Linked DNA regions of Macaca fascicularis. The protein of the gene in region 1 purifies or fractionates together with the protein of each later gene. This does not show direct contact. Links are inferred from orthologs where the notes say so. Each region holds a gene or a part of one and is shown on either strand. Other genes may lie near its edges. The genes, in order: SNX33 and DNM2.

Region 1 (4,371 bases):
AGACAGGGTCTCACTCTGTCACCCAGGCCGGAGTGAAGTGGCACAATCGGGCTCACTGTAGTCTCAACCTCCTGGGTCCAAGTGATTGATCTTCCTACTTCAACCTCCCAAAGTGCTGAGATTACAAGCATGAGCCACCATGCCCAGTCCAACACATTTGTTAAATGAATGATTGAGACAGAGAAATAAAGATAAGTTGCTCCATTCTATCCAGGCCATCCCCATCTCCCCAGGGCCCAGCAGAGAGTCAGACTCAGGATGGGTTTCCTGCCTGCACTGGGTCTTACCTTTCTGTAGGTGGATGATGTCAGGGAAGTTAGAGAGCAGGCCCTGGTAGAGAGACAGTGTGTCCAGCATCTGGAAGAGGTCATTCTTGGGCTGCTCAGCAAACATCTCCCCGATGGCTTCATAGGTACGGCCCGTGTGAGAAATGGCACTGTTGAGGGCCTCAGAGCAAAAAGGGGGGTCCATCTGGAAGGAATGACTGATGGCCTGGAAGGCACTGCCCAGCTTCTGGAATTCCTTGCGGAAGCCCCCCACGTGTTTACGCACCAGCTCTGACGCCACGGTGCTGAGCTGCAGGACACTGTCATCCATCTTCTTACTGAAGGCCTTGAAAGTGTCCACGCGATCTTCCACGTCCTGCAGGTCCTGGTGCTCGGTGGGGATCTGGAAGGTGAGCAGGAAGCTGGCACCCACCATCTCATCCTTCTCCGCCCGGCGTTTGCCCATCTTCCACTGCTTGTCATCTAGGCAGCTAAGGAAATGCTGGAAGCCTTCGTACTGGGAGAGCACAGGGTGGCTGGTCATGTGGTCCATCCAGAGGATGAGTCTCCGCTTCCGCTTTTCAATGAAGTCCTCCTCGAAGCGGCCTGTGGCCTGCTTCTCAGGCAGGTGGGGCACTGAGATGACAGTGAACTTGTGTAGCAGGCGGTTATAGAGCCAGTCAAAGTGTTTGTAGCGCCGGTAGACAGGTGAGGCAGCATGGGTGGGTGTGAGCTTGTAGGAGATGTAGCTTTTGATGCCCTTGAACTTGGTCTGTTTTGTGGGGTCCTCCACAGAGCAGGCAAATGGGTGGGGGTTGGCCTTCCACTGGGGGCCACGAGGGCCCATTTCAATGGAGTATGTCTCAGCGATCTTGGCCATCATGGGCACATCACCCAGGATGAAGGCCTCCACTCCAGAACGCACAAAGCATGAGAAACGGTTGAGGTTACGGCCCACCACACTGCCTCGCTTGGCAGATGCCAGGCTGTCCTGCCGCTCCAGTGGTGGCTTGGGCCGGAAGGCCATGTGCTGGCTGGGGTAGGCACCAGGGTAGGAGAGGTTGAGGGGAGGGTGCCCATTGGTGCCCAGCCCACCAGCCCGTGGCTCCTCCACCACTGTGCATCCATCGTCCCAGTCATCCCAATCATCATCATCATCCTCCTCGAAGCTACCCTGGTTTGAGAGGAAGCCACTGCCCCCACCACTCCTAGCTGGGTTGGCCACACTGGGGCTATTGTACAAGCTCACGTGGGCCCCCGGAGAGCCTGCAGGGCTGCTGGAGTAGTCAGCATGGTTGGTGCTGATGCCAGAACGGACGATCTCCACGTAAGAGGCAGGAAAGAGCCCTGTCTCCCCACGGCTGTTCTGGCCCTGCAGCCAGCCATCCAGTGAGATCTCGCTGAAGATGACCAGGTCCTCATCCTGCTGGATGCTGATTTCCTCCTTGTTCTCACTGTGAAAGTCATAGAGGGCTCGGCCTTTCAGTGCCATGGTTGGGCTGGGTGGTACAGACAGATGGGAAGGAGAGGGTCCTGTCCAGACCCGGGATGCTCACAAGGAAGTCCAAGAATGCACTCGCAGCTGAATGGCGCTTACACAGTTCAATCTCTCAGGTCCTAAGGTGGGGTCTCAGCACCCACAGATGCTGTCCAATCTTCTGCTCTTCAAAGCAATGTCCACGGCCCAGAAACTGCCCTATCAGGTCTCCGGGCATATGCTTGTGAGCAGGGAGGGCTCATGTCCATAGCCTCCTCCCTTAGCAGCCCCTGGGGGATTAGAGGGGAGTCTCTCCTAACTCCTACTCCCAGAAGAAAAGTCAAGTGACCTGGAGAAATCTGCCCTGCGAGGGGAAAATTTCGACACTTTCCACTGGAACAACGTTCTAAAATAGAAGAGACTCACTCGGAAACCACCATTCCAGAAACCCAGGCAGGGCTCGGCTGTCCCTCTGGCTCCCAGATTCTTTTGGCCACTCTGGCTTTGGGAGGCTCTCACATTCCTCTGCAGATCTGCCCCTTCCTCCTTCCTCCTCCTCTTGCTCCTGGGCCACTGGGTTTTCAAATATCCGGAAAATCCAAGAGGGGCAAGGAGAAAAGCAGCAGCCGCCTGAATCGAGTCCAAGGGTGGATGTGTCCGGCTTCACAACGAGCCAGGCCGGGAAAACAAGGACTGAGGCTTACACAACAGGCCGCCAACTCTTCGACCCCGGCTGCGCAGCCGGAGCCCCCGCCGGCTCGGGCGCCCTCTCCCCGCCCCAGAAGTGGCCAGTCCCAACCCCGGAGGAAGGAGGGGGCGCGACGAGGCGGTCGGGCGACTTCTGGCCAGTCGCTGAGTGGTCTCTTTTGTTTGCCTAATTCCTCAGCAGTTTCTGAGACTGACGCTGACCCTGCTCTGAATCCCAGGAACCCCGTCCAAAGGTAACCCCAGCAGAAACCAGTTCTTCACCCGGGACTTACGACCCCCGACCCCCACCCTCGCGTGCACGCACACACTCAACAGTTTGGAGTTTGGAGAGTGAGCTCCGGCGAGCAGATGGCGCGGCTGGCCGTCTGTCCGTCCGTCCTCCGCTCCGCCCTGCGGGACCCGGCCAGTGGGGGGCGGGCTGCGCCCCCAGCCTGCCTTCCCCTGCGCTCGCAGACCCTCCGCGCCGCCAGCGAGAAGGCAGCTCCAAAACAAAAACGCGATTCCGGGAGGTGGCGTCCCGAGGAAGGAGGGGATCGCCAAAGGGGAGGTGAGGGGTGGGGAGAGGGAGGAGGGAGGGGGAAGCAGGCTGGAGAATCGGGCAAACTCCGCTGCACTTCCGTGCGTCCCGGCGGGGCAGGGACGGCCAGCTCCGCCCTCCCGCGGGCCCGGGGCGCTGCAGCCGAGCCCCCGCCTACTCCTCCGCGCGGCTTCCCATCTGGCCAGTGCCCTCGCTCAGTCCCGGAGGCAAGAGGGAGGAAACGACCCGGGAACGAGGGAGCCCGAGAGCCTCCGGGGCTGGTCTCTGGGACCGCCACCTCCTCTGCTCTCCCTCCGTCTGTCTGCCCTCGCCGGGAGACACCTCACGCCCCCGTGGTTGGAGCGCCCGGCGGTGGAGCTTGCCAGCCACTGCTGCCTCGCTTCCTGGACTCCGTCATCCTCCTGCCTTTTCCGTGACGCAAATGGAGTAAAACTCCCAAAGTTTGCAAAGCGTGGGGCTGCAAGGAGCACCGCGCCAGAGCCAGGATGGGGAAATCGGGCCGGGCGGGGAGAGGTGCGTGAAAAGCCGTGCCAGCTGGGGTTGGGGAGCAGAGTCGCGGGCTCGCCTTCCCACCTTCCCATTCCTCACTCCTGCTCCGCAGGGACGGGGTCGTGGCGCAGCTCGGAGATTGTTTTCCGGAGGGGTAGAAACGGCCTGCGCGTTCCGGGCGTCTGACCTAAGATACCGACAGCTGAGGGTGCAGCACCCTAGCCAGATAGGGCGACCCTGCCCTGGGCGACTAGCTTGGAAGGAGGGAAAGACACTACCCTACATCTGCAGCGACAGGGAACAAGTCTAGGTGCCACCCGGTTCCGTGTTGCTTAGTGCGGCAGCGGGACTGGATGTTCTGTACTAGCCAGGGGCAGCAAGGAGAGAGGTGGTCAGGTAGAGAGTCTTGAGGCAAGTGGGATCTGATCCTCGGTCAGCATATCTGGAACACTTTGGGCACTGAATCTGCTAGGCACTGTGCTGGGCACTGGGGAGTACACCACAAGTCAGTCGGGGTTCCTATCCTGGGGGGCTTACAGTCCATCCTCTCTTGTCTTTAATCAATCCATTCTCTGTCATTCATTCAGCCAAGTCATGCACTCAAGAAACATTAACTGAGTATCTACTCTGCACCAGGCCCCTGAGCTACAAAGACAATTAAGACATTATCCTTATTTTCCAAAAGCTCAGATGTATTGTGACAAGTAGACAAATGCTCCCTGCCCAGTGTGACTAGTCAGTGCCATGAAAAGTGCACATGAGGATACCTACTCCAGCCTGGGTGGAGCAAGGATCAAGGAAACCTTCCTGAAGGAGGAGGTGCCTAAGATGAGGCAAAGGCTTCAGGAGGATCCCCTTTCCTGGCTGTACCCTGGAGTCTTGTCTACCCTGTC
Region 2 (4,406 bases), on another chromosome or scaffold:
TTTTGAAACAGGATCTGGTTCTGTCACCCAGGCTGGAGGGTAATGGTGCGATCACAGCTCACTGCAGTCTGGACATCCTGGGCTCAAGCAATCCTCCCAGGGCCAGCCTCGTGAGTTGCTTGGACTACAGGTGTGGGACTACTACCCTACCTGGCTACTTGTTTTATTTTTTGTAGAATGGTGTCTTGTCATGTTACCCAGGCTGGTCTTGAACTCCTGGGGCCCGACCTGGTGGCTCACGCCTGTAATCCCAGCACTTTGGGAGGCCAAGGCGAGAGGATCACTTGAGGTAAGGAGTTCGAGACCAGCCTGGCCAACATGGTGAAACCCCGTCTCTACTAAAAATACAAAAATTAGTTGGGCATGGTAGTGGACGCCTGTAATCCCAGCTACTCGGGAGGCTGAGGCAGGAGAATCGCCTGAATCTGGGAGGCAGAGGTTGCAGTGAGCCAAGATCATGCCACTGCACTCCAGCCTGGGAGACAGAGCGAGACTCTGTCTCAAAAAAAAAAAAACAAAAAAAAAAAACTTGTTTAGGAGTGTCAACCAAGACTTAGAGAAGCCAAGACAACCTGTGCAAGGTCACAAGGCATGTGAAAGAGACAGAGCTTTGCAAACACTGTGGTAAGACAGAAGGCAATGAGCCAGAGACAAGGTAGCAAAGGAGGAAATTCGTGCTGCTGGGAGGAAAGCCCCAAGGCTCTGGGATAGCAGACACAAGGCTTTACGCCAGCCTGGTGGCCTTGGGTGAACACAGTTCCTTCTAAGCCTCCCAGCTCAGCTAACGTGGGGATGGTAACACAGCCTCCACCCCACTCCTTACTTGGGATTCAAGATGTTGAATCAAGAAAAACATTATCCCTTGACACTGATAAAAACAATAACAAGCCGGGCGCGGTGGCTCAAGCCTGTAATCCCAGCACTTTGGGAGGCCGAGACGGGCGGATCACGAGGTCAGGAGATCGAGAGACGATCCCGGCTAACACGGTGAAACCCCGTCTCTACTAAAAAATACAAAAAAAAAGCCGGGCGAGGTGGCGGGCGCCTGTAGTCCCAGCTACTCGGGAGGCTGAGGCAGGAGAATGGCGTAAACCCGGGAGGCGGAGCTTGCAGTGAGCTGAGATCCGGCCACTGCACTCCAGCCTGGGTGACAGAGCAAGACTCCGTCTCAAAAAAAAAAAAAAAAAAAAAAAAACAATAACAATGACAATAATGACAGGAGGAGGATGTTATCATTTGGCAGCCACACCACTACAAATGAGTAGTTCCTGGAATGGAGAAGTGGCCGCCCATCTGGGAGACAAGAAAGGCAAGAGGGGTTGGTGGGAGGGAGAGGTGGCTGCACGGGCTGTTCTCATTCATTTGCTTCCTGAATCCTGGAAACAGCCCAGAGAGTGGAGTCTGCCCACTGGACAGATGGGCACACCGCGGCTTCTCAGGGCTGTCCAGAGAAGGCTACATCCCAGGGCTAGCCACTGAGGCCTGGTCACGCGAGAAGCCCCTTCCCAGGCTCCAAAGGAGGGCCCCCAATTGGCAGGCTGTAGCTGGGAGGCGGGCCCTGTGTTCTAGCACCCTGAAAGGAATCCTGAAGTAAGGTACCCCCAGGGTCCTCCTTCTAGCTGACAGGGGAAGTAGGGTTCAAACCTCATCCTTCAGCTGTATTCTCCCCTCTACCCTCCTGCCACCCACTTCCAGAGGCGCTGGGCCAGACACTCAGGGGTAGTCATGCGCAGAACAGGAGATGGCCAGACAGACAGAAGAATGACGGAAGAGAGGACCAGCTCTAGGCAGGGACTAAGCTCTAAGAGTCAGCCTGAGAGAATCAAACAGGGTCCCCTAGGAGTCAGCTAGCCAGTCAGACAGTGGAGGCCAGCTGGTGTCACCCAACAGAGGGACTGCTCAGTGTTAAAGTCTGTGAGGGGCACGGATGGGCGGCCAGACAGCAGAGGTCACCCTTTACAGCTAGCCAGACAGCAGGGGGCTGCCAGGTGGGACTGGACAGATGGACAACCAAATGGTTGTGGCAGGGAGGCTTGCCCAGGACAGAGAGACAGCCAACCAGATGGCGGGGGCAGCTCCAGATACAAGAACAAGCCAGCCAGACCGCAGGGGTCGCCCCAGTAGATATCTAGATGGCCGGTTTCACCTCTGATAAACAGCCCGAAAGAGCAGAAGAGGGATCTACCCCAGACCCACGGGCAACCAGACGGCAGAGTTCACCCACGAAAGCTGGGACCAGATGGACCGCAGGATTCCAGCACACCTCCGGTCCTACGGCCCCCCGGCCCATGACGCCGCCCCTGGGGCCCAGGCCCGCTCCCGAGCCCCTGCAGGGAGTCCTCTGCCCAGGGCGTCCCACAGGGCCCGCCTCCCCGACCCCGTCCGGTTCCCCGCCGCCGGCACGCAAGCGCCGCAGTTACGCCGGCGGCGCAGGGAGCGCCATTCCCGGTCCGCCCTCCGCGCCCTAGGCCGCCGCCCGCCCGCGATCCCTGCCGCGCCCGCTTACCGGCCCACGAAGTTCTCCAGCACCGAGCTCTTGCCGGCGCTCTGGCCGCCCACCACAGCGATCTGCGGCAGGTCCAGGTGGCAGCTCTGGCCGATGGAGCTGAAGGCGTCCTGCAGCTTGTTGACCAGCGGGATCAGCTCTTCCATCCCGCGGTTGCCCATGGCGCCGGCGGCCCCCGGCCCGAGCGCCCTGCGCTCCCCGCCGCCGCCGACCCTCAACGACCTGGCCCCGCGGCGTCTGTAGCCGTTGCTCTCCGCCCGCCCGGGCCTCGGCAAGACACCCGCTCCCGGCTCGGCCTCACGGTCGCCGCCTCATCCGGTTCTCAGGCTACACCCGACCCAAGCGACCTCCCGCCCCGGCCCCAGGGCTGCGCACAAATCACTCGCGCCGCACGCGATTGGCCTGCTGCGCCGCCACTCGGGCACACTAGCCAATAAAAACGAGGCACAAGCCAATGGTTGAGTAAACCTTCCCCCTGAGGACCGTCTTGCTGGTTTATTGGACAAAAGAACCGTCACTGTTGTGCAAAAGCCAATAGCGGCAGAAAGCAAGTTGTCAAGAGAGGAAGGAGGTGTTTCAGAAAAAATGCACTTTGGCTCCGCCCATTGGCGAGGTTACACCATCTTATTGGCAGGCAGACGTGCCAGTCGACAATGTGGACCAATGATGTTAGGGATTGAGCTACTACCTAGTTCCCTAAGAATTTCCCATTGGTTCATATAAATATCACTTCGTTGCTCCAGCCAACCAGGCAAAAGAGGGCGGGGTGTAACATCCGAATCTTCACTATGATTGAGAACCATATCTGTCAATCAGAAAAACTCGCGTTCTTCCCCTGTGATTGTTGGATATCTGCAACAGTCTTCTGAAGTACAGGATAGGTCCCACCGTACTCGCTCAAGGGCGACACCTCGTGGTGGGATCCGATGTCTCGATTTTTGAGTTTCCTGGCTCTGGGGAAAACTACAAGTCCCAGAACGCATCTCAGTGCCCAGACTGCAAACCAACTCTGGGACCAGGGTCCCAATGCACTCTGTAAATGGGTAAGGCCAAGTCATTGCTTCCCAGAGACAGAACGCAGTAAAATCACTCCTCCTCCACGCCTTTGCAAATACTGTGCCCTTTCTGCTCACGCCCGATCTTGACGCCGCTAACGCTCCAAAGTTTTTTCCCCGGCTTCTTCAACTTTAGCAGAGCATGAATCTTTTTTTTTCTCTTTTTGAGACGGGGTTTCACTCTGTCACCCAGGCTAGAGTGCAGTGGCGCGATCTTGGCTCACTGCAACCTCTGCCTCCCCAGTTCAAGCAATTCTCCTGCCTCAGCCTCCCGAATAGCTGGGATTACAGGTGCACGCCACCACACCCAGCTAATTTTGTATTTTTAGTAGACAGAAAGGGTTTCACCATATTGGCCAGGCTGGTCTCGAACGCCTGGCCTCAAGTGATCTGCCCATCTTGGCCTCCCAAAGTGTTGGGATTACAGGCGTGAGTCACCGCGTCTAGCCAATGAATCTTCCTTTCCTAGAGACTGGGTCTTGCTCTGTTGCCCAGGCTGGAGTGCAGTAGTGGACTCATAGCTCAATTCAACAAGCACTTGGGCTCAAACGATCCTCCCGCCTCAGCGTCCCAAGTAGCTGGAACCACAGGCATGCCCTGAGTCAACTATGCCCAGCTAATTATTTTTATTTTATTTTTTATAGAGACAGGGTCTTGCTGTGTTGTCCAGGCTGGTCTCAAACTCCTGGGCCCAAACGACTGTCACAGACCAGCCTCCCAAAAGTGCTGGGATTACAGGTGTGAACCCCCCAACTGGCTTTGGATCTTTTTGAACACCCACTAAAACTCAACGAATCCTCTCCCCGTGAAAAGATACGCTATTTTGTAGGCAAAATTGGGGTTCT

What was found.
Region 2: the proteins of SNX33 (region 1) and DNM2 purify together in Homo sapiens (co-immunoprecipitation; 3 studies listed by BioGRID and IntAct, with this or other methods). This does not show direct contact. The link is inferred for Macaca fascicularis from reciprocal best matches to the Homo sapiens genes SNX33 and DNM2.

Annotation. Positions count from the first base shown.
Region 1 is NC_088381.1:52,871,579-52,875,949, reverse strand, and holds the start of SNX33 (sorting nexin-33), read right to left. Parts: upstream 2,950-4,371; 5' UTR 1,759-2,949; coding exon 288-1,758; intron 1-287. UniProt on the Homo sapiens protein: Plays a role in the reorganization of the cytoskeleton, endocytosis and cellular vesicle trafficking via its interactions with membranes, WASL, DNM1 and DNM2. Acts both during interphase and at the end of mitotic cell divisions.
Region 2 is NC_088393.1:11,284,582-11,288,987, reverse strand, and holds the start of DNM2 (dynamin-2), read right to left. Parts: upstream 2,831-4,406; 5' UTR 2,668-2,830; coding exon 2,507-2,667; intron 1-2,506. UniProt on the Homo sapiens protein: Catalyzes the hydrolysis of GTP and utilizes this energy to mediate vesicle scission at plasma membrane during endocytosis and filament remodeling at many actin structures during organization of the actin cytoskeleton.